Linked DNA regions of Arabidopsis thaliana. The protein of the gene in region 2 purifies or fractionates together with the protein of the main gene of each other region. This does not show direct contact. Each region holds a gene or a part of one and is shown on either strand. Other genes may lie near its edges.

Region 1 (4,187 bases), on a different chromosome or scaffold from region 2:
TGAAATTGGGGTTAGAACATGGCTGGCATGTGAAGGAAGAAGCTGGTGGTGGAGCGGAGGAGGAGGAAGATGCGGCGGAGGAAGACGGCGGCTGAGTTGAGCAAGAAAGGTGGGTGCTTGATGGGCAATTGACGCAGATGATACGAGCTTGTGGAGGAACGGCGTTGTCGAAGAGATTGAAACAAACAGAGCAAAAGTGTTCTCGGTACTCTTTGAGCAAACAATCGGTGCAGAGTCGCCGGAAAGCGCCGGTTTTGATGACGGTGTGGATGAACGACGGCTCTTTTTCACGGCAGACTATGCATTCGCGCTGTTTCTGTTCCGGATTCATGGCTAAGTCAACGAGATTGAGAACTCTCTCCCTCAACGGTAACCCTAAGCGAGAGAGAGAGAGAGAAAGATGAAAGAAGCGTTTGTGTTGTTCTCAGAATGTTGAAGATCTTGGGCTTGAAGAGACTTCAACGTATAATTCTATTGGGAGCTGAAAAAACTTATATAGAAGATTAAAAATTGGGTCTTGATTCTTGTTGAATTAAAAACAGAATCTTTTATTTTTTGTTAATACGAAGTGTATATATTTGGAAGATGAAAGGAAACATAATAATCTTGTGTTTTCCTCATTGCTTATTGCAAACTCTTAAGCATTGTGATATAACAAATGCGAGCAAGCCTAAATTCCTCTATTTAATCGTTTTCAAATCATACATCCAAACAACTAAAATAAGAAAAAGACAAATTCATCTGCAAAAAGCTTTAGCTCTGTGATTCCTTCACTTCCACAGCTTCTTTCTGGTCTCTAATCATTGTAAAAGCCCAAATAAAGATCAAGATCATGCTGTTTTCATCACTCTGCCAACATAAATGGGTCAACTTCTCCAAGATCTGCAACCAACGGTTCTAATTCTGATGGATCTTCATCTTCTGGAGCTAAGTAAGTTGGAAACGGAAGCTTTGAGATGTCTGGTTTCTTGCACCATGCATCTTTTATGAACACAAAGTTTCCTTCTGCACCAGGAACCTGCAACAACACCAAATCACAATCATGACCTACTAATAAGAGAAGAGAAATGGAGCTCATGTTTTGTGACAGACAGATCCTAGCCAAAGACTGGAACTGGGATTGAGATACTTACTTGTCCTCTCACCCACATGAGGTTCCTCGCAGGATCGATCTTGTAGACCCAAACGTTCTTTACTGTCCTCTGATCTGCACCCATTCTCCCAGCCATCTTTCTGCCCTTGAACACCTACTCAAGTGTATTTATCAAGTCAGTAGTGTCATTTGCTTTGGAGAAAAATTCCCAAGAATCTTAGCAATTTGACACATACCTTTCCAGGAGCATCTCTTTGCCCTGTGGAACCCCCGCTTCGATGGGACAATGAAGCACCATGTGATGCCGGCATTCCACTGAAACCATGTCTTTTCATGCATCCCTGCAAATTACACAGCAAAAGACATCAATAACACAGCCATTACTTTGCACAAACACTATTTCATCCGCACTCCATTCTATATATCTGCCACATTGTCACTAGACTATTCAACTTATCATCGCAAAGAAAAGATAAAACTTTAGAGCCCCTGAGAATGGTTTCACCTGAAAACCTTTTCCTCGAGTGATCCCAGTGACATCAACGTACTGTCCCGGAACAAAATGGCGGACACCGAGTGAAGTACCAACAGGAAGAAGAGCGTCTTCAGTCACAGGAAATTCCCTCAACTTCCTCTTTAACGGCACACCTTGTGCTCTGAAATGCCCCACCACAGCTTTTGACAAATGCTTCGGTTTCTTTTGCCCACATCCGATCTAACTAACAGAACAACACATGCCAATCAAATTACTAAACCATGAGCTTCATAAACCCACACATAAAGTTACAGCAATCGATTGATTGATCAAGTAACCACTAAGAGCCCTATCAATAAATCCAGGAGATACAAACTACATGGCCAAAATGGGAATGAGTAAACTGCGATGGAGTTACCTGTAACGCAAAAATGCCTTCTTTCTCAACAGTTTTAACCTGAGAGACGATATTATCATCAACCCAAAGAATAGAAATCGGAATCCTCTTTCCCCATTTGTCCCAGAGCGCAGTCATCCCACACTTAACCGCGATGATCCCAGTCCTCTTGGATCTACTAGACATCTCACCTTGTTTCGCCTCAATGATTCGGGTCTGAGCCCCGATAATATCAGATCCACCACCGTCCATCAACCCAGTATCGGAGCTGAATCGTCGGATGAGAAAGAAGCTACTACAATGAGGAAGAGATTCAGAGGATGAAGGAGTTATAGACCGTATTGATAGAAACTGATTGATTCGAGAAAGGAGGCCTCTCGGTACGGCCGCCATGATTTCGAATCGAAGCGACCTTCAATGGCTAAAGTCTAAACGAAGAAGGAGAGAGATGCAGAAACCAGAACTCTCAAGGCTTTTGCGTAGGGTTTTAGATGGGCGACAAAATGATAACCAAAGCCTCTATCTCAGAAAGAGAGTCTCAATATTATTTATTTCCCTCTTTTTATAATATGTGGACGATAATAAAAACAAAATCCTACGTGGCTTATCCATTGCGACATATAAAACAAAAACAAAACGGTACATGAAAATTTTGCCTCAATTTTCAAAATCAATCTCAAATTCTCAAATGTCTGTGATTCGTCCTTCTCCGATTCCAATTCCGAGATGCAGATCTCAGGTACTGCATCGTCGTCTTTATTCGATTCAATTGATTCAGCGACGACGTCGACGGTGGAATCCGAGGTCGGAGGTGGAGGATACTGCGATTGAATCGACGGCTCGGTCTCCGGAGGCAGCGGGAGGGAAAATGGTGGTGGAGCTTGTTGGAGCTTTCAACGAAGTAACGGAGAGGATGAATTCGGTTTGGTTGTCGACGTCTTCGTCTAGGTTACTCTTTAAAGCTCTCAAGCTCTCGATTCCGATTTTACAGTCTCTTCCTCTTGCCTCTGATGGTCGCTCTCCTCTTTCTAAGGCTCTCTCACTCTCTATCATTCTCGCAGATCTCCAGGTTTACTCTCGATCCTTGCATTTTTCACAGTTTCTTGTTTAGATGAATTAGGTTTTGTTGTTGATTCTGTGACGAAATTGAAGCATTAAGTTAGAACTAGAATCTGAGATTAAGTGAGTTCTGTGACATTGTTATTTGAAAAGCTCTATCAATTGATATTTGATAAATTATGTGGTAATGGTAGATGGATGCAGAAGTTATCTCGGCGAGTATATTGAGTGAGGTGGTGGACGCGAATGCGATATCTATATATGAAGTTAGAGACCATATTGGTACTGGAACTGCTCATCTGCTTCATGAGATTTTTCGTGTGAAGAATATTCCTTTTAAAGTTGATGTGTTAGACGATGAAACTGCTGCTTCATTGAGAAAGTTCTATTTAACCTACTATGACATCAGAGCTGTGATTATGGATTTGGTTTCAAAGCTTGATGAGATGAGGCATTTGGATCACTTGCCAAGGTATCGCCAGCAGATTCTCTCTCTTGAAGTGTTGAAGATTTATTCTCCTTTAGCTCATGCGGTGGGGGCTAATCACCTGTCACTTGAGCTCGAGGACATCTCTTTCCGTTATCTTTTTCCGTGTTCGTATATATACTTAGATTCATGGTTAAGAGGTCACGAGAACGGGTCTAAACCGTTGATAGACGTGTACAAAGAGCAGCTTCATCGGTCTTTGAAGGATGATTTGGTTTTGGCTGAAATGGTGAATGATGTATATATTAAAGGTCGGTATAAAAGTCGGTACAGCATGATGAAGAAGCTCCTAAGAGATGGGCGTAAACCGGAAGAAGTGAACGATGTGCTTGGTCTACGGGTCATATTAATGCCTAATTCTGTAGTAAACGATGTTGAAGTTGGCGAAAAAGCCTGTTACAGAACAAGTGAGATTATCCGGTCTTTGTGGAAGGAGATTCCGCATAGAACAAAAGACTACATTGCTAGGCCAAAGGAAAATGGGTATAGGAGTTTACACATGGCAGTTGATGTTAGCGACAGCGATCAGATAAGACCTTTGATGGAGATACAAATACGGACAATGGATATGGATGGATCCGCTAATGCTGGAACAGCATCACATTCTTTGTATAAAGGCGGTCTAACCGACCCAAAAGAGGTAAGCACTTCTGTGATTTTTTAGTTTGGCAAATTT
Region 2 (4,820 bases):
GCAATCATCATGAACGTATTCTTATAAGGAGATGCGACCATATTGTTTGCCATTTTAGTTGTTATAAAAAAAATTGTGTTGTGCTTGCTTCTCTTTTTCGTGTGTGTCGTGTTATAGAAAATTAAACCATGTAAACCTACTCACTTATATATAGAGAGATATGTGTGTGTGCATGTAAGCTCTTATTTCAAATCCTCATATTGATTTTAAACTTCAATTTTCGAAATCGACGGTATTTAATTGTGTAGATCATCTTAAAGAAGAGAGATTTTGGAAGGAAATGAATAAAGAATATTGTTTCTTTATAAAGGCTGATTCTGTCTTTAAAAAATTTCAATAATCAAGATTCTGATTTCTTTTACTATCCTTTGTTTCGTCATCTCTTGTAAAACTTTATTTTTGGATTCACCAAATATCTATCCAAGGAAGAGTCTCTACATACATATATAGATCGGGACCAATTGGATATTTTAGAGCACCCTGGTACGTATTGTAACATGGGAAGAACCCATATAAGAGTTCAAACATAATGTTATCATTTGAAAATCATAATTAAGCATAATAATTGTTCATTCGAGTCATAAGTTTTTGAGGCAAATCATTTTTCATAGAAATTTTCTATCAAAATGCCTTTTCAAAAACACGAAAGCCTAAGTCATATTTAAAACGGTAAAAAAAGAATGTCTAAAAACATAGAAATAGTATCACCATTCATTATTTTAAAACTCAATCCTTCACCATTCTATGTTGCAAAACCAGACCAAAAAGCTAACAAACAATGAACCGGTACAGATACTACATGCGGGATTCCTTGTGATCTAGTATTCTTATTGAGAGTGCCATTTTAAGACATTGTTGTCTCTTCAACGGTTAATAGGAGTGTGCATACGCTCAACGATCTTATTCACAGCATCACGGGACATCAGAAGCGTATCGTGTAGCAGAATGCTGTAAACATTTAGCCCCTGCAAAGTGTTACGTAAACAAAGTTCAAGATTCGCTAACCAATTAGTCGAGAAACCACAAGGTTTGATATGTGATTATGTAACTTACTATTGATGGAATTATGTTGACATAGTGTAGATTTTGGGTGGCTAGCTTCAGCTTTTCATCAATAGGACCACCTTCTACAACAAGGACTTTCTTTGTGTTCTCCATTTGGTTGTAATAGTTCACAATGTTCTTTGTTTTATGCGTAGGCAATCCCAAATCATCAAACACGAGGAGCTGCATAAATTTCCCATTCAGCAGGTACAATTAGATCAGTTTAATAAGAAGGCACGGTTATCAAGAGTACATTTTATGATTAAGAAGAGAAAGAAGCTGACTTTTCCTTCTGCGGCTCGAGCTGTCAATGCTATTTTCAGTCCAAGCCGTCGAACCTGCTTATTCATTTTTATGGCATGGCTTCTTGGTTTGGGTCCATGCATTACACAACCACCTCGGAACTAATGGTTCAATAAAGTTCAATCAGAGATCTATATTTGATGGCAAGAAACCTTAAAATTCAAACACTGATTTACCTGCGGACCACGTAGTGTACCATGTCTAGCTCGACCTGTACCCTTCTGATTCCATGGCTTTCTACCAGTTCCACTAACCTCACTTAACGTTTTGGTCGAATGAGTTCCCTAAATATCAACAACATGTGTCACACTTATTGATTGTTTGCTTATATGACTAAATTAAGGCATTGTGAGATAACTAATTAATTACCTGCTGGCGTTTCGCAAGCTGCCATCGCACGACATTGTGAATGATATCTTTCCTTATTGGAACATCAAAGACATCACCTGCTAAAACCATGAAACCCTTTTCCTCGTTCTGAAAATTAGTCACTGGAATGACCAAGTCTTGATATTGTCCTATGAGAAGTATCAATAACAGTACCAGTTAATACATGTCCAGAAGTTTTTAAAAGAGAGAAAGTAGAAGAGAAAATATCATTGATCAGAGATTTTATCATGTCTCAAGCACAATAACCAATAAAAGCGAGAACATAACAGAGTCAAACACGAGCGAAAAAATGGTACTCAAATCTGCGTTAACCTTCAAGTAATAAGCTAAATAAGGCCTGAAAAACTCTTACTCCTCCGAAAACACAAAGTAACTGCATTTTTATAACACAACAACTACTCACTCTCCATTCCACCAACATGATTCCAGGAAAGGAACAAAATTTTCAGCAAAGCACATGAAAGATACAGATGTTGGAATTAGCTTGAAAACCAGCTTGTAGACCAAACAGAGACGTACCTATGGTTCGGTCTGGTGTAAGCACAGTCTTTTTGGTAAGTAAATCAGAAGGAAATGAATCATCAGGAGTCAAAATAGAAGTGGAGAGCTTTCGGTTGGAAAGTAAAGCCATTCCATACTGCATTGATAACAAATACGAAATCAACATCTCAAAATCAGGAAGATGACCACTCAAGTAGTAGTAAGTAGAACTCAATAATATGCAGATGAAGGAAAGGAGAAAGTGACATTAACTAAACACACCAACCTTTAGATCATTAGTAAGAGAAGCTAAACCATTTCCAGATGTATTCGCAGACAAATCTGTTGAGAGAAACAATCAGAGATCCAGGAAACAAACATATTTTATAAGAAGCTTGGAAAATGAGATAATACTTGGTGAAGAGGAACGTCCTAGAGCTGAAAAGGATCCAAAAGTGCGAAAAATCCTTCTTGAAATTGAAGCAGCCATAATCTCTGATTCAATAACCTAGCTTCTCATCTACAAACACGAAAACAATCCAATTTCTCAGTGTAATCTAATCAAAAGGCACACAACATCTACACTACAATGGCGAAGATTATTCGGCAGATCAGAAAACTCAAAATCTCAGTAGCTATCAAATGCTAATTCGAGCGATTAAGAAACAGAAATGAAAACCAGACCCACGTACATCTCATAGAGCTTCAACCAAAATAAACTCAATAGAGCAGAAGAATACTCACCGGAGTCACAAGCGGCGATGATAGACGACGGCGGCGACTATTCAAGGAGGCACCGATTTGGTGGTGAAGGTTTTAGGCTTCTGGAGGAGTTTCGAGGTTTCAGTGAAGGTTTACTCATGTGTTGGATCGGGTCATTACCAGACGGGTCGGGTCTTCATTGGGTCATGAAGTTAAATGTGTAAATGTTAAAAAGCCCATAAGTCAGATTTTTCATTTTGCCAAAAAGAATAAAAGATATTAATTATTTGGGCCTTGTGGGCTTATTTCATTATCTTCGTTTAGTCAGGCCTCTTCTATACGTATAGGCTCTAGAGTTTAGTCAAGCCTGTAAACCTAATAAGCCCATCAGGTGATGAAGGCTCATGGGATGAGAGGCATCTATAGCTTTGGTAAGAACTTGCAAAACTGTGAACGAGAGTTCAAAACTGTAACAAGTCACATGTGTACTGTTGTATTCTAGATTACATGGCTTCTTGATCTTGACCTCATCAAATGAACAAGAACATTCACATGCATTTGATTGGGTTTTTATGGTGGGTTGGGAGAAGAAATTCGAAAAACTTTTTGTTACAATGATATTTTTGAACATAGAAATTTATTGGTGATGTTCCGACATGTTATGGGCGTAAGGCTACTTGTTCCCACTATGTACATGGCATCTTCTATTGCCACCCACCAAAACCCAACAATTTTTTTCTTGGACAAAACCAACGTTTTCTTATATTTTTATATAGTTCTCTATTTGTTTCTTAAAAAAAAAAAACAGCAATGAGTTACAAATCTATTTTTTTTTCAATCAAGAGAACATAGTTAACCAATAATAATAAAGTCTAACATATATTCAAAATAATTATTTACAGGTTATCATGCGATTTAAAATTTAAAGCTTTGAATGGTAACCCATTATCAAAACAGTACAGTTTGTACAGCTTTGACAATTACCATTTACAAAAACTTTATCAAAAGCGTTACGAAAAGCTTTACTCTCAGCTTTTTGATACAATTTTTTTTTACAGCTCTTTTGTACAGTTTTACATTATTCCGTAACAGCTAAAGTTTTGTGTTACCAATCAAACTCTAAGACTTTTTGTTGTATTCTACTCAAATTCCACCTTTTTTTTTTTCCTAAAAATTAAGTTTTTTCATTAAACCCATATCCTCTTTTAGTCCAAAACCAGCATTTAATAACACTTGTTAAAACGTAAGTTTTTTCTTCTGTTTTCAGTTTTGTCACCTAAATCTTTTATATTTACCATGTTGCTTAATATTTTTTAGATTTGCCATTTTTATCATGATTGGCTAGTGCCTACTCTAAAGGTAGTATGCACAAACAATAAAGTGTCTATCACATCGTGTAATTTGTATTTGTATACCAATTAGAAAAGGCTACTAGATAATATTTGGTAGCAGTTTGAATAAGCGAAACTACTCTCATGAGAACAGAGATTGGTTAAGTAATACATTTTAAAATTTGTATATTTTGTTAAAAACTTTACGTGAGTAACCATATATAATATAGAACAACCTACCGTTAATTAACCTTCACACCCTTAAATTATGTGATACTACTTACCAATCTCACATTCATTATAATTCTCTTATTGTGGATACGTACGTATATTAGTGGCATTTCTATATATATCATATAGAAGTGGAGTCCATGTACAGATAAGCTAGTAAACAACTACGTATTATGAGTTGTGACGTATATCCAATCAAATACCCCACAAGCGTAGAAAGCGCTATTAGGCATGAGAAGCCATTTACGTTTCTTTCGTATGTGTGACCCAAAAACTTTCTCTTATCTTCTAACTTTCTTTTGACCAAAATAAAATGCGAAGATGACTTAAGATAAAGCA

What was found.
Region 1: the proteins of AT2G20060 (region 2) and RPL3P fractionate together in Arabidopsis thaliana (co-fractionation; one large-scale study listed by BioGRID). This does not show direct contact.

Annotation. Positions count from the first base shown.
Region 1 is NC_003074.8:5,977,215-5,981,401, forward strand, and holds RPL3P (ribosomal protein L3 plastid), read right to left. Parts: upstream 2,481-4,187; 5' UTR 2,359-2,480; coding exon 1,987-2,358; intron 1,809-1,986; coding exon 1,599-1,808; intron 1,435-1,598; coding exon 1,330-1,434; intron 1,248-1,329; coding exon 1,134-1,247; intron 1,019-1,133; coding exon 845-1,018; 3' UTR 508-844; downstream 1-507. Other genes in the region: AT3G17460 (PHD finger family protein), read right to left, coding at 1-331; CRSH (Ca2+-activated RelA/spot-like protein), read left to right, coding at 2,609-3,034, 3,219-4,151.
Region 2 is NC_003071.7:8,657,271-8,662,090, reverse strand, and holds AT2G20060 (Ribosomal protein L4/L1 family), read right to left. Parts: upstream 3,111-4,820; 5' UTR 2,962-3,110; intron 2,738-2,961; 5' UTR 2,708-2,737; coding exon 2,632-2,707; intron 2,560-2,631; coding exon 2,504-2,559; intron 2,375-2,503; coding exon 2,257-2,374; intron 1,866-2,256; coding exon 1,717-1,865; intron 1,632-1,716; coding exon 1,524-1,631; intron 1,449-1,523; coding exon 1,329-1,448; intron 1,228-1,328; coding exon 1,054-1,227; intron 966-1,053; coding exon 864-965; 3' UTR 533-863; downstream 1-532. Other genes in the region: AT2G20070 (defensin-like protein), read right to left, coding at 1-53.